7 separate regions of the Mus musculus genome follow, and all the other regions are reported to be linked to region 6. Evidence: microRNA targets listed by miRTarBase, many of them from high-throughput screens and not tested one by one. Region 6 holds a microRNA gene; each other region holds the end of a gene's coding sequence. Distances are between the middles of the regions.
What was found. Region 6 holds the annotated microRNA mmu-miR-181a-5p (AACAUUCAACGCUGUCGGUGAGU, at 2,261-2,283, opposite strand). A microRNA usually pairs through its seed, bases 2 to 8, with sites in the 3' UTR of a target mRNA and lowers its output. Matches are read on the target gene's strand: a 7mer-m8 pairs with bases 2 to 8, a 7mer-A1 pairs with bases 2 to 7 and ends in A, and an 8mer does both.

Region 1: the mRNA of Ttyh1 is a reported target of mmu-miR-181a-5p. Seed matches in the 3' UTR shown: 7mer-A1 at 1,939-1,945.
Region 2: the mRNA of Reep1 is a reported target of mmu-miR-181a-5p. Seed matches in the 3' UTR shown: 7mer-m8 at 202-208.
Region 3: miRTarBase lists Samd10 as a target of mmu-miR-181a-5p. Seed matches in the 3' UTR shown: 7mer-m8 at 2,153-2,159.
Region 4: miRTarBase lists Epc2 as a target of mmu-miR-181a-5p. Seed matches in the 3' UTR shown: 8mer at 1,126-1,133 and 7mer-A1 at 1,867-1,873.
Region 5: miRTarBase lists Eme2 as a target of mmu-miR-181a-5p. The part of its 3' UTR that is shown has no 7-base or 8-base seed match.
Region 7: miRTarBase lists Pi4k2a as a target of mmu-miR-181a-5p. Seed matches in the 3' UTR shown: 7mer-m8 at 2,165-2,171.

What each region holds. Positions count from the first base shown.
Region 1 is chr7:4,133,354-4,136,433 of GRCm38, reverse strand. It overlaps Ttyh1 (tweety family member 1), which reads right to left. Exons shown (of 14, transcript NM_021324.6): 12 at 3,032-3,077; 13 at 2,696-2,771; 14 at 1,027-2,568. The coding sequence ends at 2,733. All of the region lies in intron 1 of D030047H15Rik (RIKEN cDNA D030047H15 gene), which reads left to right. Among named protein-coding and RNA genes, the nearest start is that of D030047H15Rik, 2.0 kb to the left of the region's middle.
Region 2 is chr6:71,807,283-71,810,362 of GRCm38, reverse strand. Reep1 (receptor accessory protein 1) reads right to left here. Exons shown (of 7, transcript NM_178608.4): 7 at 1-2,572. The coding sequence ends at 2,562. Among named protein-coding and RNA genes, the nearest start is that of Mrpl35, 15 kb to the left of the region's middle.
Region 3 is chr2:181,594,112-181,597,191 of GRCm38, forward strand. Samd10 (sterile alpha motif domain containing 10) reads right to left here. Exons shown (of 5, transcript NM_172676.3): 3 at 3,061-3,080; 4 at 2,636-2,776; 5 at 1,104-2,494. The coding sequence ends at 2,472. Among named protein-coding and RNA genes, the nearest start is that of Zfp512b, 3.2 kb to the left of the region's middle.
Region 4 is chr2:49,549,526-49,552,605 of GRCm38, forward strand. Epc2 (enhancer of polycomb homolog 2) reads left to right here. Exons shown (of 14, transcript NM_172663.4): 14 at 401-2,084. The coding sequence ends at 473. Among named protein-coding and RNA genes, the nearest start is that of Kif5c, 68 kb to the right of the region's middle.
Region 5 is chr17:24,890,055-24,893,132 of GRCm38, forward strand. It overlaps Eme2 (essential meiotic structure-specific endonuclease subunit 2), which reads right to left. Exons shown (of 8, transcript NM_001163102.1): 6 at 2,985-3,078; 7 at 2,701-2,890; 8 at 2,098-2,629. The coding sequence ends at 2,459. Spsb3 (splA/ryanodine receptor domain and SOCS box containing 3) reads left to right here. Exons shown (of 7, transcript NM_001163751.1): 3 at 229-406; 4 at 514-701; 5 at 779-881; 6 at 957-1,082; 7 at 1,306-2,093. The coding sequence ends at 1,649. Among named protein-coding and RNA genes, the nearest start is that of Eme2, 3.5 kb to the right of the region's middle.
Region 6 is chr2:38,851,944-38,855,023 of GRCm38, reverse strand. Mir181a-2 (microRNA 181a-2) reads right to left here and starts at 2,289; the gene lies at 2,214-2,289. The region is part of intron 3 of Nr6a1 (nuclear receptor subfamily 6, group A, member 1); the gene reads left to right. It overlaps Nr6a1os (a long non-coding RNA gene), which reads right to left. Exons shown (of 7, transcript XR_866167.2): 3 at 2,665-2,809. Mir181b-2 (microRNA 181b-2) reads right to left here and starts at 1,194; the gene lies at 1,106-1,194.
Region 7 is chr19:42,119,662-42,122,741 of GRCm38, forward strand. It overlaps Pi4k2a (phosphatidylinositol 4-kinase type 2 alpha), which reads left to right. Exons shown (of 9, transcript NM_145501.2): 9 at 132-2,557. The coding sequence ends at 293. Among named protein-coding and RNA genes, the nearest start is that of Avpi1, 7.8 kb to the right of the region's middle.

The sequences.
Region 1 (3,080 bases), not on the chromosome of region 6:
GCCGCCACTTAAAGCTCACTGTTTACAGTAGGAGTGATTGAATTATGCAGCCCAACTTGGGATCTCCCGTTAAAATAATTGATAAGACTACCTTCTTATCAATTATTGTTCATCAATTGACCAGTTTCCAGTCTCACATTGTACAAGCAACTTTTGGTAATTAAACAACACTTGGATAACTCTGTATCATTTGCTAGTGTTAGCTTGGTAGGTTTCTTCCCATCTCTTTTTTATAATGAACTTTTATTTTAGAATAAATTTTAAGTTTACAGAAATTACAAAAGTAATACAGGAATTGGGCACACTATGCCCAGTTTCCCCTATTGCTAGATTCCACACCTCAAATTCATTTGTTAAAAGTAAGAAATTGACATTGCTCTAATATTCTGAACTAAGCCGCAGATGTGGGCGCTTTTTCTCACTAATGTTTCCGGTGCGCCATAGCGTAACCCAGAGCATCATGTTGCATTTGTCTTGCTTTTTTACCCATCCTGTCAAGAGCTGTTTATTGGGTTTATGATGCCCATTTGCTTTACCACACAACTGAGGTTCAAAAAAACAAAACAAAAAGCCAAACCAAACTAAACCAAACCAAAACAACAACAACAACAACAAAAAAAAAAAAAAAAAAACTGGGCAGTGGTGGCCCACGCCTTTAATCCCAGCACTTGGGAGGAAGAGGCAGGTGGGTTTCTGAGTTCGAGGCCAGCCTTGTCTACAGAGTGAGTTCCAGGACAGCCAGGGCTACACAGAGAAACCCTGTCTTGAAAAACCAAAAAAAGAGGTTCAGTGAGTCAAATAACTTGCTTACATTAACACTGAGGTGCCAGGACTAGGACCCATAGGAATCCAAACCAGCATTGTGCAAGAACCAGGGATACCCCTGGTGCTTCTGTAGTCACTTGAGGACCCTGCTCTGCCATCTCCCCTACAGAGCTGCTGGTCTTTGGGAAGAGTCCCACTGTGGCAGATTAGTTTTGTCTCCAGCGTTTAACTGAGCCAGGGGTTGCTTGTTTATTTCTTTCTGGAAGCTGGTCCCTCAAAGGATTACCAGGATAAGAGATGCAGTTTTTATCCTCTCACATGTAAGCATATTTATGTTTGTTTATTTGTTTTGTTTATTATTATTTTCACATAGCTGGTGATTCACAGTCTCTGGGCAGCATATTTAGAGAACCTGTTCCCTGGGCCTCCAGACCAGCACCAGCCCACACTCCACTCTAAATCCCACAACAAATAGGTACTCGAAAGGGGAAAGTAGCACATTGTGTTTGCTAATCATTAGAATTTGAACACTTTAGTTGGGTGTGGTGATACACGCCGTCACACGCCGTTAATCTCCTCACTAGGGAGGCAGAGGCTGAGGCAGGCTCTTCTCTGTGAGTTCAAGGCCAGCCTGGTCTACAAAGAGAGTTCCAGGACAGCCCAGGGCTGTTTCACAGAGAAACCCTGTCTCCAAAACAACAACAACAAAGACAAAAAAGACAATTTTATCCATTTGTTTTGGGGTTTTTGTTTTTCTCAGTTACTTATTATTAAATTGAGGTCTTTTTTGTTAGATAATAGAAGCTTTTTGAATTATGTTTATGTATTAACCACGTTTTTCTTTGCCATGTATGCTATTTGTTTTTTAAACAAATGAGAACTACATACATATTGTTCCCCAGACAATAAATTTCCCTTTTGACTCTGCCATGTTTGTTTTTACTTGATAACTTATTGAGTGCCTCATCTTTTCCTGCCTGGATTTATAATATCTTCCTTAAACCTTCCCCCTTCATATCACCCTGGTGGCACTACAAGCAAATATTCTACTTTCTCTTCGAAGACTTCTGTCCCTATTCTGATACAAGCGTTGGTTTTCTGGAGTCTTGTGCTGGGTGTGAGCTGCTAGGAAGCAAGTTGATTCCACGCCTTTCCTAAACCCAGCAGGCTTTGTACATTCCACGGGACTGGAAGCTTGACTGTTCCTGTGGCTGCACGCCTGTTTAGATTTAGTGCTAGGCTTATTCTCTTCCGGTATCTGCTTCTTCCCCCTTGTCAGGATTCACATGTTACTTATAGAAGCAATGCAGTGCTGAGCCTGGACAAGAGGAGAGTTGCCTTTCAACCACCAGAGGAGGAGTGTCCCTAGCCCAGTCAGGACTTCCTTCTCTCAGTAGTTGGGGTGGATAAGAAGGACCTAGCTGCTTGTAAAATAAAGCCTTCCCTTTTATTTCAAATCAGCCCTCTTCCAAGTTAGTGCCATAGGTTGAGATCGCTGGGGTATGGCAGGAAACAGGGACGTGCCTGTACCTGCCTCCAGCTTCATCCCTCCAAGGACAGGACTGGCAGCCAGAGGTGAGGAACACCAGGCTGTATAGGTCAGCCCCCTTCCCAGCCACCCCTGGTCCCTGTTGTGCCACCTCAGCAATCCCCTGTGCTAAGGAGAAATGGGGATGGGGGGGTGGGTGTTAGGGCCAGAGCAGGTTGCCATCCTAAGTGAGATGTCCATAGCCAGCAGTGTTAGTGGTCAGAGCCCAGTCAAGGTCAGGTTAGTGGGGCCTTCTCCAGCAGCCAGGAAAGGAGCTAGAGAGAGGGAGAAATGAAGAGCTGATATTCACTGGAGACCCTCCCATGGACATCCACCCAACATAAGAGAGCTACAACTACTGTAGGGGAGAGCCAAGACCCAACTGTACACATTGAAGGTTACCATAGAGGAGAGGCAGGCTCCAGACTGGAGGGGAGGCTCAGATGGAAGACTGCCACTGCACAAAGCGTTTGGATTCCTGGCAGGATAACCAGGGCAGGAAAGACACTCAGAATCTGTTGTGTACGTGGGGGCCCTTCTCTCCTCCCTCGGGCCCAGGCTTCCAGACCCCAGCCTCCTCCCTCATGGCCAAGACTCATCCCTGTTCCCCTAGGACCTCAGACCCAGAGGTCCAGTCTCATTTCTCTTCTTCTCAGACCCGAGAATGCAATACTCATTTCCCCTTCCAAGAGACCCAGGAGCTCAGGCCCCAGGCCTCCTCCCTTCACACCAGGATACCTGAGGGTTGAAAGGGTCATCGTCATCTGTGTCATCGTAGTCATCACTG
Region 2 (3,080 bases), not on the chromosome of region 6:
AGAGAACATACATATCAAAGGCCAGCAAAGTGAGCAAGCTATTCACACAAACTCAGGAGGCATTATGACTAAATCTCCAGTTGATGAGCAGGAGACTGCACCTCACCTCTGCAGAAATGGAGAGTAACTCAAAGCCGCGACAAGTAGACCTTCGAGCTAGCGATTTGTAAACAGCCTGTGTCTTAAGTCAGCGAACTAGAAACATTCATTTATCCTGCGTAGACAGAGCACCGCACTTCTACATACAAGGTCATTCACATCATATGTCAGTCTACATACAAATACACAGCTTGTCAGAAAAGTAAACACAGTTCTCAAGAAGTAAGACAGCTGTGTTTGGCTGTACAGTGAGTGTCTTTAAGAGAGGAAACAACTTAGTCAACACTTGAAGGAAAAGGAGTTACATTTACAATAAGACAACGATTTAGATACCTTTATATTTTAAATCTTGAGCGAGAAGTAATACAGCATGTCTGAGGAGTGCTTCAAACTGGGTTTTGGCATGGCTGAGTACAAACTCAAGAGCCTCGATGTGTTATGACTTCCTGTTGTAAAACGATGAAAATACACTAGGACTTGAACTCTGTCTCTAAAGCCATTTATTATTTCGGGGGGTGGAGGGGGAGCTGCAAAGCTGCTTCTCTCAGGCTTTCCTGCACCTGTTCCTCTTCATCCTGGCTACACCCAGCTGACACGTTGGTATGTTTGAAGGGTGTCACTTCTCTTGTCTGGAGCTGTGGGGTGAGCTTGAAGAGGGCAGATGCTTTGCTTAATGGGTTCAGATGGATATGGGGCCCAGGCAGACTATTTACCGTCAGTCATCAGCTCTTGGGTTAGTTCTGAAATACAAAATCACCTTTGGAAAATTCCATTAGGTGTATCTGGCAGCAATGAACTCGCAACTGAAACCCTTTGTGAAATGGCCAAGGCCCAGCTGATGGAGCAGTCTCCCAGTGCATGTTTGCATAGCTCGGTACCAGAGCGGTTTGTAATTGAGCCTGTTTGCAGTCAGTTGACAGTTCTATGTGGTATACAACACTATTTCTCTAGCCTTCAGGGCATAGCTGTGAACAAATATAATCCAAATAGGAGTAACTGGGTTGTGACTGCTGCATGCATTCCATGGAACGAAAACACCAACTCTACGCACACACAGACTAGCCCTACAATTTGGCTCAGCTATCAGAGGAGAGGGCAGCTCCCTCAACGCAATGTTATCTAAGTCAGAGACTTGTCAAAATTCTCACTGCAGTCCTGGCTTGTATAAAACATCCACGAAGACATGGAGTGAGCATGAGTGTCAGTCCTTCCCATTCACCTTCCACACAAGCCAGAAAGGAGCAAGAGCCACAGCTGCCTGTGGCTTAGCCTCAGTCCTCCCTAGACCCTGCCTTCTGGCGACCATTTGAGATTTGAGTGTCTCATGTGTTTTGAGCACATCTGTAACAAAAGCTAGTTCTAGACTTTTCTTTTTGCCTTGTGTACTCTAAAACAAGGTGCTCAGATGTAGGCTCCTGGAGAAGTCGGCCACAGCGCTGGTCCCTGAAGGAGAAACACTCTTGCCAAGCCCTTCTGAGATACTCACAATTCTGCCAGCAGCTGATCTTCATTCCCTAAATGGCCGTGCTAAGTAAGGGTGAGCTGGCCTGCCTGAAGCAGGGCCAGTGCTCCCCAAAGGGCTCGGAAGCTTCTGTTCTTGACCCCAAAGGGCAGGAAGGGTGAGATTAGGTACAGCACAACAAACCTATTAGGACAGCCAGGGACCCAGAACTGAAGAAGCCGTACTCTTCCTCCCTCTTCCCTGATGCCCACCAACTTTCTTCCTGTTGCTGGAACACTGCACTCCTGCCTCCGCTCTGACCTACCAACCACTCAGCCGCCAGAAGCACACCACCGCCTTCCTGCAGGAGAAGGGATGCCTTACTGGCACTGCCTTTGTAAGGAAGTTGGAGACATTGCCTAGAATTAAAATATTTGTCTACATTTTTGTTTTTGCAGCTCTCTCACCAGAACTTCTGGCAGCCCTTGCGAGTTCATTACATTAAGCCAAAAGCTGTAACTATGTACACCATAGTCCAATGTATTAGTACCAAGAACAACAAAAGGGTTTTTAAAAAAGATCACGTCGTTTGCATTTACAGGACTAAAAACTATGCAACAAACAAATTACAAATGTACATCTCAGCAGCATCATGGAAAGAGTGCTTATAGATCTAAAAACACTGCGGCCACAATGACAATCCAATTGGGGAAAATCACTAACCCCAGAAGACGTAAAGGTCACCCTCCACCACCACCTTTTCCCTTTAGCCTCTCCCCAGCAGGAACAAAAAGGAAAGAACAGAAGAGTCTTAAAGGCAGAAGAGGGGAGCGAGTAAAGGCCATGTCCGTGGGCTGCACACTCGAAGCACACCCAGCCTGCGGACTTCCATGGTACTAGTGACTAGCTCTTTAAGGCAGAGGAGACAGACATGTGTGGATCCGGGGCTGTTGGCTCATCTCACGTGGTTTCAGTGGCCGAGGATGAGGTACTTTTCTTCCTGAAGCGGGATCGTAGGGTTCTAGGCGGTGCCTGAGAGAGAAAGCAGAGAGAGGGGCTTGAGGGTGGAATCTTGGGGAACAGCGTCAGGTAGGGGTACTTGAGCCAGCTCCCTCTGTTGTTGGGTAGAGCTGGGTTCCCTACAACAGGAATCAGATTCTAGCGTTGCACCCTGTGAGGTGAGGCTGAGGCCCCCCGGGAAGGCCACTGCTCCTTCCTGAGGCTGAAGAGAAGGAAGGGCATACAGAATGGCATGGCTTCCTTGCTTCAGGGGACAGCTCCAGCCCTTGGCTGAGTTTTATAGTTCCTATGGGAACTTTTTTCTGGCGTGTGCTTTCACACAAACGTCCAGTCTCTGTTCTCTTTTACTCTCCAGCAAGCCACACCTGGAAGGCCACCACTACCTCATCTCCCTGAAGATGATTGCAGAGACCTTTTCTCTCAGAGGAGGCACAAACCACAGGAGGCATCACGATAGAAATGAAAGAAATGACATCCTCCCAGCATGTCACCGAATGGGGTTCACACCACTGTCCCCTCT
Region 3 (3,080 bases), 140 Mb from region 6:
GAAGAGGGTGCTGGAAACTCAATTCTGCAAGAACAGCAACTGTGTTCTCTCTCTCTCTAGCCCCACCTCCCTGCAATTTTTCTTTATGTGTGTATCTAAGTGTCAAGACATTTTGCAATGCACTTATGTGCACCATGGGTTATGTCATGTCTAGTGTTAGTGATTATGTATTGTATTTATGCACTTGGGTAATTATATCTGTGCATATGGGGATGTTATAAATCTTTGCACAGATCATTGGCCAATTGTGCAAGTGTGTTTGTACATATTTAAGCATGTCTGGGTGTTGTGTCACTATGTTTGTGGCCTATACCTCAATGTTCCTATTTGAATGTCTGGTTATTGTGTTCAGAGTGTGTGATTCATGTGCTATGGATGTCAGGGTATGGCTGAAGAGTAAGCCCCAACAAATAACCATGTTAAGCTGTAGTGATAGTTTATTTGGAAAAGGGGTCTTTGTAGATGTAACTGACGTTTCTGAGATCTATTTGGACTAAGTGAACCCTAAATTTAAAGAAGATATTTGAGAGGCAGACGAGAATGACCACAGAAATAGATTTGTGATATAGCCTCTAGCTCAGGAATACTAGACAGCCACTACAAAGCTGAATAGATAAAGAACTCTGCTCCACTTTTAGAACACCTCTGTTTCTGTTTCTTTGCTGGGGATCAAACCGTGATTTGGGACACAAACCATGTCCAATATCACTGAGCTATACTCCCAGACCATGAACCAGCAAAAATTCGCTGCTAGATCAGCTCCAGAAAGCCTCATTCCATGTGTCCAAACTATTGTTTTGAGCCTGTCAGGGTTGCTATGTCCCAAACTGGGATGATATCCAAGGACTTGAGACATGTTTTACTTTTTAAGTTTCTTCCTCCCTCCCTCTCTCTCTCTCTCTCTCTCTTTCTCTCTCTCTTTCTCTCTCTGCGACAAGGATGTTTTATTTTTTTATTTTTTTACTTGAGACATCTTGTTTGTTCTGATGTCCTGGAATTACCAGGTAGCTTTCTCAGGATGCAACACCACTGCCCTCTAGTGGTGTTCTATCTGCAGGCACTGTCCTAGACACCCCTTTGCTCCCCAGAGACCCAACACTGAGGCATTTGAGAACCAGATTTATTTCTGATTTTTTTTTTGTCAGAGTATATATAAAAAGTGACCAAAAACCAAGGAAGAAAGGACAGGGGCATAGGGAAGAAAAGACAGAGAGAGGGGGGACAGAGAGGGCCCTCTGGCTGCAGGCACCAGGACTGGGGGATTCTAGAGGCAGGCAAACACAATAAGGGAGCCCCCTTCCATGGATGGAGGGCATACAGGATGGAAGATGCCAGGCCAATGGCCCAAATTAACTGTAATGAGCAACCTTGAATCGAGGCCAGCTCTTGGCACACAGAGGGGACTGGAGGCTGAGCCTCAACTGTCCCTGAGATTTTAGAGTCCCTGGGAACGTTGGTAGAGAGCAGAGTGAGAGTGAGCTGCCAGGGTCATCCTCCTTGTCCTCCTTCCTGGCAGCAACAGCCCCCAAATACCCAAGGAGGGGTTGTCCAGGTGTCTGGCGACACATGAAAGAACTGCCCTACATGATTTTCTTGGTTGAGAACAGGTTTTCTTGGGAAAGCCACAGAGGTGCACATGAACACAGACAGACAGACAGACACAAACACACATTCTTCAATATGGTCTCTACTAAGAGCCAGGGAATAGGGAAGCTGTTTAAAAGCATGACTTCTTCAAAGGTAAGATTGAGAACATTGCTGAACTGGTGGGCTGTGCATAGAGTCACCTGTACAGCACTGGAATCCGTGCCACTTACTGGGTTTGCAGCTTGAGCATCTTGGACCCCTCTCAACCTCACTTCTAACAAGTGGGTAGAGTATACTGACGTTTCATAATCACCGAGTAAGCACATGGCATGATGATTGATCACCATTAGTATGGACAGCAGGTTGGGCCTGCTGTACTCTAGGAGAGCTAGGGGACAGATATACTTGAAAGAGAGCCAAGACAGCTTGGCCCACTGTGTGGCTGATCTGGGGGTGCCCGGGAAAGACACAGAACTAAGATTTAAGGGGAAGACTCATGACTCAGATGGGGGATGGTCACATGTTGGAGGGAGAATAAATAAACAGACTCCCTGGGAGTCTGGGGACATTCAAACCCCATTCTAGTTCCAGGCAGCTACCCTGTTTGCTGCCAGCAGCACCAGGGGATGGGACCTGGGCTTGGATCTCAGAAGAAGGGTCTATAAGCAGGCAACAACCACCCACCCAGCCACAGGGCAGAACCTGTAGTGCCTCTCCAGAGACACCTGGAGGTGGAAGTCTTGCTCCTCCCTGATCACTGGGCTAGGTTTAGCCACTAGGGTATCCTGCAGGATCCAAAGGGGCTGTAGGGCCAATTCTGACTCATTCTTGGCTGTGGGCTCTGGTCACAGTGTTGGGGTCTGGGGTCCAAGTATAGGCAGCAGCTAGGACATGTTTCCGAAGGAAGCTGTAGGATGGATAGGAGGAAAAGCTGAGTTTTGGCACACCCAAGGATGGTCCTTACTGGATGGCCCCCTTTTGTGTCGAGAAAAGTCACCCTCCACCTTCAGCCTAGTCCCTCCCCCTAATCCTGGTCCCTGATACTAACCTTGGCTGAGCAGCTTCAGGCTCCGCCCCTCCTCACGAACCTGCAGGTGGAGTACCTGCTGCAGCACCTCCTGCCTCTGAGCCTCTTGGGTCAACCCCATTCTCTGCAGCTTATCTGCATTCAGTCGAAGCAGAGCTCGGCCTAGGGAGAGAGAAGGGAAGGCAGTGAGGCAAACAGAAGCAAAGCATAGGAGTCTATCAGGATAAAACAAACAAATAAACAGACAGACATGACCAAGAAAGTAGAGCAGAGATTCAGAGATTCTTAAAGGAAGAAAGGTAGAAAGAAAGACAGGATTGATTAAAAGAGGCCAATCAGAGAAGCAGCACACACACACAAGGCTGAACTCAGGAGGATACAGGAGAAGACAAGGCTGACTACGTCTTGAGCATTCTGTTTCTCCCTAGCCAGTGACCCCACTATACCAGTGATGGCATGCTGGGAG
Region 4 (3,080 bases), 11 Mb from region 6:
GTAGTATGTGTATATATATATATGTGTGTGTGTGTGCGTATAAATTTGATGAATTTTCAAGTTTTGCAGGGCAAGTTTTTATGTTCCTTTCAATAGCACTATTGCAAGGAAAACAGTAAAGCAGAAGAAAATTGATCTGCATGGGTTAAAAAGTTTATGATCTTAAGCCTATAAAAAGAAACTTGAATTAATTGTGTTATATTCCCTAATCTATTGTTAGTATTAGAAATTAATGGAATTTCTGAACTGAAGAAAACCTCTTCATTCCTGCCGAGAAATGATAAAAATGGGGAGTTTTCTAGAATTATGTTTAGTTATAGTTACTTAAAAATGGGATTTATACATGGTCAGTGTATTCTCAGGAGTACTAATGCTTATTGTCCTCTTTACCTTCTTACAGAGAGAACCATGAACCAGAAAGACTGGGTTTAAATGGACTAGCAGAGACAACAGTAGCTATGGAGGTGACATAACGGAAGGCGCGTGGCCTGACCTGTGTGGATGGTTGCAGTCATTCCTATTCCAGCGGAATACAAAGGCGGGTGGCACTCTGTGGATCACAGAGCAGAACAATGGACCTAAATGGAGTACAGTATACCGGATGTTAAGTCGATATATGATGTATATTTTGTAAAATTGGGAAAATCACTACCTTGTAAAATAGTTTATTTGTATCATCAATATTATTTCTGTTACTTGAATAGTAGATATTCATCATCATGCTTTTGCACTTGAATTTGCAACTGAATGGATTTTAAAAATAATTCTTTAATGGGATCATGAGCATGAAATGGGATCCTGCATCACTTGTTTTAACTATTTATTTTGCCATGTTTACATTTTGTATCTTGTAAAAAAAATAAATCCAACTTTGTGTCTAAAAAGTTAAAGATTCATAGCTAGGAAATGAAATTCTTGTAATTTTTTTCTAAAGGAACTGTAAAGTTTTCACTTGGTTCATTTTGTTTCACAATTTGACTAGATGGACTTTTTGGTAAATACTTTAGTGGCATTTCACTGTCAAATACGACTTCAAGGCAAAATAGTATTTTCTATTACTGTGCAGGGGAAGGGATGGATCGATACATGCAAATTTAATGTAGTAACTCACTTTTCCATATATTTTGAATGTATATTTCTATTTATAATACCAGTTTATAAAAAATAATTACACAGAAAAAGTGGACTAGGAAATTATGCATCTAGCACATTTAAACTGTGCAGATATGAAAATTTTTCATGGATTACATTTTATCTGAAGACTGCATATTTTAACTGGCTTTAAAACTGTAACACACCACATAAAAGATATTTACCAGGTATGTATTGCATCATATCATTGCAATAATTATTGGAAGTCTATATATCGAGCCATCCCAGGTTTTGGGAGGGGGGAGGGTTGTGGCGAGATTGTCTTTTCAATTTTGGAGAGTTTTCCTGTGGCTACAAGGCAAGTAACGGGTTGGAAACCGTCTGACTGTAAGTGTTGGACACCTTCATAGCGTAGTGTTTAGTGACTTTTTTATACGGTTCTTGTAAATTAGATACGTGTAGTGGTGTTTCAGAATGTTTGTTTATGCACTAGTTCAGACAACTTTCCCTGTTACTTGTTCTTGATAAGTGAAAACTGCAGGGAAATAAAAAATACATATCAAAACACGGCCATGCTGCATATGTGTTTATTTCACCATGTGCACACAGCGCAAGTGAGGGAGGACAGGAGGGACAGGCCAGCCCGCACAGCACTTGTCGCCCAGGCCTTCAGGCATGGAGGAGAAGGTCGAAGGCTCGCCTCTGGGCTCCATTGGGTTTCAGATAATCCAATATAAACTACCTTTGCTATGAAAGTTCTTAAAATATTTTACAGAATGTAAGTAATTTGCAGTATAGCAGTCATTGAAATCTCATAAATGAGCCTCATTTTATAAATATATAGAGTATAGTGTAGAATTATATTGCAAGGGGGTTTTGGAAGTCCTGGGAAATGTAAATATTTTTAATGAATACAATTAAAAACCATTTCAAACTGAACATAATTTTATACCTTTTTTATATCTGCAGTCCTGAAAGTTGTAAACTTATTGTCACTTAAATTAATGGGCCAGGATTTCTGCTGAGAGTGGTTTATTCAGATCCTAAATGTAAAGCAATTTATGGTCAAAACCACAGGGGAAAAATAAATTTAATTACTTTGTCGGTTGTGACCTGATAGGATCCATGCTCGTTTTTGCCATACTACCTCTGGGGTTCACTGCTGATGATATAAAGGAAATAATTTGATTGATATGTATGTGACTATGTTCATTCTGCTTACAGTTGGATGTATCTTGCTATTAAGAATTTGAAACAACTCAGTGCTAATTTCAGAGAAAGCTTCTCCCCTCCCCCCATTTTGCTGAAGTAAAGCATGAAGTTAATTTGCCTTATGTGATATATGTGTGTGTGTGTGTGTGTGTGTGTGTGTGTGTGCATTATAAATAAGTGAAATGAGAACTATGTATTTGTACAGTTTCTGGAAGTGATAGCAAGTCCAGAACTTACAAAAGACTGATTAATGGCCAGTTGATTTATTCCTTTTGAAGTAAAATAGACAATTTCAGCCTTCCTTCCTTCCTTCCTTCCTTCTTTCCTTCCTTCCTTCCTTCCTTCCTTCCTTCCTTCCTTCCTTCCTTCCTTCGCTGGTTGTACCTGCTTCATAGGATGCATTTCAATTACCCATGCGCACAGTTCCAGCACTTCTCCAGGGCTGAAAGTTAAAGGGTGGCTTGTGCGGTTGCTCTGTGTGCTGCCAGCTCTGCTATGTCTTGGAACTTTTCAGAACACTGGGCAGATGCATTCCTTTGGAGGCAGTAAGCGTGGGAAGAGAGGTTTTACTTGTATGTGTGCATTTGTTTAAAATACAAAATGACTTGTGTGCTGGGTCATCCTTTCATTGGTGTAGGCAAAATATCAGACAAACTGCACTTTTCTGCCTTACTGGAAGGAGTACCCCCTTTTTAGTCAAAGTCAGTATTACCATACAGCTCTAAGTATATTTGAAGACACAATGTGTGTTTCTTTTGCAGAAGACCAAGAAAAAA
Region 5 (3,078 bases), not on the chromosome of region 6:
GTGGATGCTGTGTGGCCTATGGTAGTCAGACCTTCTGGGGGGAAATGGGGCAGAGGAAGCCAAGTAAGAAGCCATTCCCCTAGGGCCACCTCCCATCTCATTGGAGTCTTAGCACTCAGGTTGATTATGTTGAGCACTGGAGAGCGCCAGGTGTCTGGCTGCTTCTCTGGTGGATTTGAGAAGGGATTTGTCATAAACAGAGTGACCTACCCCTTCCCTCCCTTCCAGCACAGCGACTCCGACTCTGACCCTGAGTACTCCTCCCTGCCACCATCCATCCCCAGTGCTGTGCCTGTGACAGGAGAGTCCTTCTGTGACTGCGAGGGCCAGAATGAGGCTACCTTCTGCAACAGTCTGCACACAGCACACCGTGGCAAGGACTGCCGGTGTGGTGAGGAGGATGAGGGTACGTGTCTTGCCGCTGGGACGTGTGGAGGGCTGGGCAGGTTCCCTGGGACCAGGCAGGCACCGTTTAGCTGTAGCCCTCCCTAGTTTAGGCCCTCTGTCTTACAGATTTTGATTGGGTCTGGGATGACCTGAACAAGTCCTCAGCCACCTTGCTGAGCTGTGATAATCGCAAGGTCAGCTTTCACATGGAGTATAGCTGTGGCACTGCAGCCATTCGGGGCACCAAGGAGCTAGGGGATGGCCAACACTTCTGGGAAATCAAGATGACCTCTCCAGTGTATGGCACAGACATGGTAAATGGCCAAGCAAGAGGGTAGATGCCATGGGCCCTGCCGCTAGGCATCTAACTGTCCAGGCCCACTATTTACAGATGGTGGGCATTGGGACGTCGGATGTAGACCTGGACAAGTACCACCACACGTTCTGCAGCCTGCTGGGCAGGGATGAGGACAGCTGGGGGCTCTCCTACACTGGTAGGTGTTGCCTGGGTCATGGGTGGGGCTGGCAGTACAGCAGACCTCCCAGGATCACCCCATTGCTCCTCGCAGGGCTCCTCCACCACAAAGGTGACAAGACGAGCTTCTCTTCACGCTTTGGCCAGGGCTCCATTATTGGTGTGCACTTGGACACCTGGCATGGGACACTGACATTCTTCAAGAACAGGAAGTGCATAGGTGAGGTACCTTTGTAGAGCCTTTAGGGGTGGGGCCAGGCAGTCTGACTTGAGGCTCCTGACAGATGAGGGAGGGTGGGCAGGCCTGAAGCAGATTGGGGTTACCAGGCCAGACCAGAGTATTTTCTGTGTTCAGACTATTTGAGCTGCTTACCGTGGTGCCTTGTAGGAGGAGCTTCCTGGCTCCCAACCCACATGGCACTCAGGCTAAGCCTTCCTCCCAGGAGTGGCTGCTACTCGGCTTCAAAACAGAAGGTTCTACCCGATGGTTTGCTCCACGGCTGCCAAGAGCAGCATGAAAGTCATCCGCTCCTGCGCCAGCTCCACATCCCTGCAGTACCTGTGCTGCTACCGCTTGCGCCAACTGCGGCCAAATTCAGGGGACACCCTCGAGGGCCTGCCCTTGCCACCTGGCCTCAAGCAAGTGCTGCATAACAAGCTGGGCTGGGTTCTGAGCATGAACTGCAACCACTGGAAATCCCCTGTGCCCCCTCCTGGCACAGCTACACCTGGTGCCGAGAGTCTGGAGACCAGGCCCTGTCAGAGGAAGCGCTGCCGAAGAAGCTGACTTCTCCCCTGGGAACGCAGATACCTTCCTCTTTCTCGCCCTTCCAGGGCAGCAGGAGAGGGAAGAACTGAGGTCCAGGCTTTTCCCTATCTCCCTGAGGCCAGGACAGTCTTCTCCGGTGACCATGGAGTGAAGGTCATTCTACTGCCTGTGCTGGTAGGGAAGCCGTACTCCTATTTGTCCTTTGAGTTGCCACGTGTCTTGGGAACTGCAGCTAGGCACCTGTGAACCTAGATTCCAAGCCCGGGAGGCTGGCCGACGAAGGGGAGTGCATTCATATCCCGGGGAGAAGATGGGCTGTCCCCACCCACGGGGCCGTGGGGCTTTCCTGACTTGCACTGCATGTTGTCAGCTCCTGCTGCAGAGATGGCAGTGGGTGCCCTGTGAAGGGGTTTTGTCTTGTCCCTCTATGTTATATCATTAAAAGAGCCTTCACAAATGCCCAAGCTGCCTGTGTCTATTGTTTATCTGTCTCTGTCCAGCGGCTTTGAGAGAGCTTGGCTTGGATCTCTGAGCACCTCTCTCTGAGGATGTAATAGTACAACTCAGCACTCAGGCCTACTACTAAGCCTCCTGCACCAAGTGGCCACTACCCTCCACTCTTCCATTCACCTCAGCTTCCCTTACCCTCTCACCCACCTCCCATGGTATTTCCATTTGACCATCAGGCAACAGAGTCTATCTACCACAGTCTGAAAAGGTATGGGCTGGACCCAAACCTCCTTGCCTGCCTCTCAGAATAATTAGATTCTTAGGCAGACTTGTCCTGTTGTACTGATGGGCAGGAGGTGACCCCAGGATGGCACAGGTCAAGAGCTCAGGTCCAGCAGGAGGTCAGGGTTGGTGGTTGTCAAGAAGATACAGATTCTGCGTGAGAGGTCAGGCCCCACTCTGCGAGGCTGCTTGCCTTTGTGGGCCTTCACAGGGAGATCAGCTAGGAGGCTCAGGCGTTCTTGCTCTGTGCTGCAGTCCAGGAGAGCCTGGAGTAGGCACAAGTGTAAGGGGTGGACGGTAAGTCCTGATCCTGGAAGGAGGGATTTAGGGGACTCACCTGTTGCAAAAGGCGGGGTGATGGGAAGGCAGTAACAACAGCGTCAGCCACAGCTGGGCTGACCCGGTTGAACTGTCTGATTTGTCGCCACCACACTCCTCTGAGCCCAGAGCCATCTCTGGTCACTTGCTGGCCTGAGGCCCAGTGCCCTGCTGTGCAGAAAGAAAAGGCCTGGGAGTCCCGGTGCTGCCTGAAATGACACCCAGACAGACGCTTTGAGAACCCCATTTGTGCAGCCCTCCGACCCTGGCCTGTGTCCACTCGGCCCCTGCAGAGATGCATACTTCGAGGGGAGCTGCGAGAGGGCCCTGGTGAAGGCACACACGTACTGACTCAGCTCCTGCCACGAAGCCATCAGCAGCACATCCAGGTTTGCAT
Region 6 (3,080 bases):
AATGTTTCCTGTCTCACTTGGCTGTTTTTCTTGTTATAAGAACGTATCTTGGGAAAGTAAGAATAGATGGTTTTGGCCAGGAGAGGTTTTTTTTTTTTTTTTAATGTGTCTAAACAATAAAAACCAAAGTATTCATACGAAGACATACAGTCATTCAAAAGAATGAGAAAGGATCGATGGCAATGGGGAGATGACTTCTTCAGTGAGTGTTCACCATGGAAACATACAGACTTGAGAAAGTGGAGACAGATGCCTCCTGGAACTTGGTTGCCTGCTGGCATGCCTCAGGTTTGACAATGAAGTGGAGAGTGATTAAGGAAGACACCTAACACCTACCCTGGCTTACACATGCACCAAAATATGTACATGTACACTAACATAAAGTACAGGTGCTGCAGTTATTAGTAGACTGCTTGCCTATCACATACAAAACCTTGGTTTCAATACCAGGCTTGGTGATACACACTTGTGATCCTAGTTAGGAGAACATAGGATCAGAAATTCAAGGCCACTTTCAGCTACCTAGCATAGGATATGTAAGACTATGTCTCAAAAACAATTAACAAATAGCCAAAATAATAGTAAATGTGGTTTGTTAAGCTTAAAGTATATAGCTGAGTGTAAAGGTAAATTGAAGAGCAGTGAGTTCCTTTTGTTGCCATTGAACTTCCCCTGAATTACAGTTTTGCCTCTGTTTTTATACATGTAGATAAGTCTTCAAAGGTATAAAATTTTTCTTTATGTTGTGTGAGTAATACTATTAAATGGATGTTTTTATGTAGTTTTCATAGAAGGAATGTATTTGAGATGAGGATAGATTTAAATTCTTTTCATATACTTTTATTTTAAAATAATTATGTATATTTAAGTATTATTTTTAAATATTATGATGTCAAGGCATATTAATCCTTTTGCCTGTGATAATATAAATTTCCCAAAACTTGGAATATTTGAGAAGAAAATAAAAAATACTAGGAATTATAGAGCTTCTTCCATATTAGAAGCAAAGAAACTAAAGAGACTTTAGATAAAAGATTGAGGTCCCACCTGGAGCAGTACTTCCGTACTCTGGTGACTCTCTGGGAGTACTTTTGTTTCTTTGCGTTTTTTGGCCCGCAGTTTGCATTCATTGATCAGTGAGTTGGTTGACATTCAAACCCACCGACAGCAATGAATGTTGAGTGCAGCCATCAATGTTTCCTTTTGATGAAATTGTCTTGGTCTTTTCTATCTCCTGGCTCTTCTTCCCACTATGGTTCTTTGAAGTCTGTTGTATGTTAGTAACTAGTCATCTGTATGGTTGTGGACTCATAATTATAGATCACCTTGACTGTATAGCAAGAACTTGTTCAAGACAGAAAAGTTGTGAGGAAGAAGGCACTATGTGAGAACCTTGTAAGTAGCTCTGATCACATGGGCTGAGACTTGGATGTTGATGTCTGTAAAGGAGCCCTCAGAGACATTGCTTCATCTTTTGTTTCAAGCTGAGACGTTAAGTGCCCTTTTCAAGGTAAAGCAGTATAGATTATGATTGCAGTTAAGTAAAAATTTTTGTAGTAAACATTTGCTGTGAGCCAGAAACTGTTCAAAGTACCCTCATATATCTTCTCATTAAATTAAAACTCTGAGGTTCTCTCCTCTCCTATTCTACATTTGAGAAAACATACTTGGATACGGAGGCTCAGAGATGACCCAGAATTCCTTAAATTAGCACATGGAGATGGAAATGTATCTGGTTCTCTCATGGAGATGTCAAATCCCTAACCGCAGTAACTGAAACTGGAGGCACAATATGATTTGTATAGACAGTGAGTAACTCTGTGAGTATTTTTGCTGAGTAAATCTCTTGACCCTAAAGCAAAAATTTGAAAGGACGTAGAAGAAATGAGAATAAAAGACTTAACTAGATTTTTTTCCTACAGTAAATAGACATTTTTAATACACCCTATTTCTGACTAGAATGACACATTTCTAGAAGATATTTGAGTGCATTTGGTACTATGATGGCACTTCCCATAAATTGTTAAAATGAAACACTTATTTATCAAGAAATTACAAAAAATAGACAATATAAATACATGGAAGCTTAAAAAAAAAACTTGCTGGTTCCCTTTAGAAAAGAGGCCACAGGACTGTATCTTGTGATGTCTGTCACATGATATATCTGTACAGCCTACTCCTTTGCTTCAGGAAACTTGTTGTCTGTAAGAATCCCAAGGTACAGTCAACGGTCGGTGGTTTTTTTGTTTTTGAATCCCAAACTCACCGACAGCGTTGAATGTTCCATGGAGTCCTCTTAAGGCTGGCTTGGTTGCCCATCTTTGGCCTGCTCTCATATTCTAAGGACCACTGCTGTTGGGTCTCTCACATTCTTCCCAAAATTTCAAGTTAACAGTACTTACACTGTGAAGTTAGTTTGCATAAAGCAGAAATGAGCTGCAGGATTGTGAGACTGCAGTTTACATTGCTGACTAAAAGTGGATATCTGTGGAAATATTTTTCAATGCTATCATTCTGAAAACATCAATATAGCAATTTTGTAGTAATACTTTAATTATTAATGTACAAAAACAAGAAAGACCATAACACATGCTGGGGACTTATGTGTAGTAGGATTTGTATATTTAATTCCAACCGTGTTTTCCTTAAGAAACAGAGACTTACCCGGAGTTCCATAGCCAGAACTTGAACACCAGAGTTCATTGTTCCAGTATTGGTTGGATATGTTGCTTTCTCCTTCCTTTACCAGTCTCAGATTTGAACCTTTACTGCAGAGCTAAATCAAACAAGCAAATTCCTTCTTGTTTGCCTGTAATAGTAGAAAATACATCTAAAGTCATATATTTCAGAGAAAAAGATGAAAAACAAAACTCAGTAGCTGAGAATCATGGGCTGCTAAATTACCACAGAAGTGCTAGTGATGCTCCATGATTTTTTTTCCCCATATAGGAAAAGTAAAAATTCTATGTGTACTAGAGCACAGAGAGTGTATCTGGAGAGATGACTCAGCAGATAAGAACTTGTACTTTTCTAGGCGGGACTTTGATCCCAGCACCTGTCTTAACCACAATCTGTAACTA
Region 7 (3,080 bases), not on the chromosome of region 6:
TCACATGCCTACTGTTGGAACTAGCCTGCTTCCATGGTACTTCCGCTGGCATTTGTTTTTGACATGAAGGATGACACTGCAGAGGCAGGCTTAGAATACTAGGCCTTTCACCTTTTCTCTTTTCAATGCAGATCCTAAATTTGACCCAGGCCCTGAAAGACAATAAGAGCCCCCTGCACCTCGTCCAGATGCCACCTGTGATTGTCGAGACGGCCCGCTCTCACCAGCGGTCTGCAAGCGAATCCTACACACAGAGCTTTCAGAGTCGGAAGCCCTTCTTTTCATGGTGGTAGCCCCAGAGGCAGGCAGAAGAAATCCTGCAGGTGACAGGCTGGGAGGAAGCCTGGAGTCCCAGGTTCGCAGAAGCCAGAGAAGCTGGCGGGCGCACAGCAGAGCCTTTCAGAGCCCTTCCTCTTTGCTTGTCACCTCCCTCAGGGCTTTCCTACCCACAGGGAGAAGCACAATGGGGGGACAAGAGTGTTCCTGGACCTTCAGAGTGTTGGGGAGGCTCCTGTCCAGGCAAGGAGCTCAGGCGGCTGAGGAGGAGCCACTCCCTCCTAGCATTTGGTGGCTGGTTGGGAAAGTCCCATCTCTCCCTGACAACCCTCTCCATCCAGGTTACCTAATATATTCTGCATCAGAAACCAACAAAACAAAAACAAAAGAAACAAATTTAAATGCTTGTAGGAAAACCTACATTAGATCCTCTGACATCAGAAGCCCTTAATCTAGAACCTAAATTTGCTCAGACACAGGCGCTCTGATACCTAGCACTTGTTTACTCCATGAACTGAGCGGTCAGAGGTCCATCGCTGGCCCACGGACAGAAGCCATTCCTTTCTGGTTTTGCCAAATTGAGCCTCCTCTTGCCACACTGGTACTGACTTCGTGTGGCAGTGAGCAGGTTCATGCTCTGCTCCTCTAAGGCTCTGCACACAGGCTTTTTCTCTGCCCTGCTGTAACTTGCCCGGCACTCATCTGAGGTGGGAGGGGCTAGCCTTGGCAGTGTGCTCTGCCAGGAGTGGTTGTGTGACGCGGAGGTGATTGACTTGGCCTGGTTGCATGCTGGGTGCTAGGAGGGTTCTGTGGGAGCCTGGCACAGCCTCACTCCTGGTCCTTAGTTGCGGCCTTCCCTACCTTTCTGTTTGGTAGTCTAGTTTCCCCCATTTTAAAATGAGAAGTTCAGTTTGGGTTCTGGAGTGGCTCTCAGTAGGTGTTGTGGGTCAGTAGGTTCATGGGCAGCCAGGACAGCATCTCTGTTCTTCATGTGTTAACTGCTGCTGCCTGGAGAGAACAGGACCGTGTTCTGCCCCCTAACCGGCGTGCCCCTTGGCTCCTGCCTTCCGTCTTGGGATGGTTTCTTCTCAGCTTCTTGAAGAGAGGCCTTCGGACAGTTCCCCAGTGCCTGCCCAGCTCAGCGTGCATCTTCCTGCTTCCATGTCTTCTCCCTTGCCAGGTGTTTGAACCCTTTCTACACCAAAGCAGAGAACTGACTTCAGGAGGGAGTGAAAAGGGGGCCGAGAGGCCGTAGGCAGCGGCAGTGGTCACACCCTGTGCTGTGGACCCTTGAGTGTTCTCACACTCTACAGTTGGTCAGTCAGCCTTGGAAAGAAATGTCCTGAAGGCGTGAAACAACCAAAGACCTGGAGTGAGGAGCACAACTGTGCCTCAGCTGCTTGCCGGGCTCCCACCGCCTAGAGGCAGGGCTGAAGACAGCCTTCTGTCAGGTGTGGCAGGCTGCTCCCTGCCCATTCCAACCCAGGAGCCAGCTTGCTATGGGCTTTCACTCAGCAACATGAATCTCCAAGCACTGGATATGCATGCCCAATGGACAGTCGCTGTTGTTTGCCCCATCTTGACAATCCCATCCAGCCCACGTGGACTCTGGCCTCAGAACCTTGTTTGAGAGAATCTCTCTCTCTCCTCGCCACAGGAGCCAGCAGGGGTCCAGGTGTGTGCCGGTCTTCACAGATGTTTCCACACCAGCCGGGTGGCGAGACTTCCCCCTGGAGTGCTGGAGAGAACTTAGTCCTGCCCCAGACCAGGTTTGCCATCAGGAGGAAATTGGGTCCAATGGAAGAGGGGGCCGGTGCCAGGCCCAGTGGGCAAGGGTGCAGGCAGCCTTACCTGCCTCCCTCCCTCGAAGCTTGTACTCAAGTTGCCTTGAATGTGGACTTGGGAGTGCCAGGAGCCCAGAGTGTCAGGTACTTCAGAACAGCCGCCCCTCTGCCAGCCTTAGGCCTGTCCCCTGTGTCTAGGAGCTGAAGCTGGCTGGTGAGCGCTGCTGCCCTGTTCTTCTAATGCACTGTAGAAATTGTATGTATTGTATTTAAATCAATGCAAATGTATGAATAACAAATCCAGTTCTGACCTCTCTGTCCAGTTTCCTTTGGGGGAAGAAAGACAAGATAAATGCAGTTTTAAGGACAAAGACACATTTCTGTGGAGTTATGGGGACTTGACTCTTGAAAACCAAGTGTTTTCTTAAGACATTTCAAAAACTGACATGAGTCTGCATTGATAAAACACATACTTGCTTTTGGTATGAATATTTACTATAGTGTTTGCCCTGGCTACTTCCTTACAGTCAGAATTCTGGGATTAGGTATAGAGCAGTGGGTTGCAACCCTTTTGGGGGGGGGGGGGCGTTGAATAACCATTTCACAGGAGTCTCCTAAGACCATCGGGAAACAGATATTTACATTATGATTTATAACAGTAGCAAAATTAGTTTTGAAATATGAACAAAGTAATTTGTTGGGGGTCACCACAACATGAGTAGAACTGTATTAAAGAGTCGCAGCATTAGGAAAGTTGAGAGCCACTGGTTTAGATGCAAATTTAGGAGAGGTTGGCTTTTATCCATGGCCATCAGAGGGCAGTCCTGCCGTATAGGATCATCACTGTTCCTGGGGGATGGGGGTTGGCAAGGAGAGGGTCGTGCTAATGAGCACATAGTCTGGAATAATGGGAAGAGCTCTTACTCCTGTGTCATCAGATCTAATATATTCTGCATCAGAAACTCAACAAAACAAAAACAAAAACAAATTTAAATGCTTGTAGGAAAACCTACATTAGAT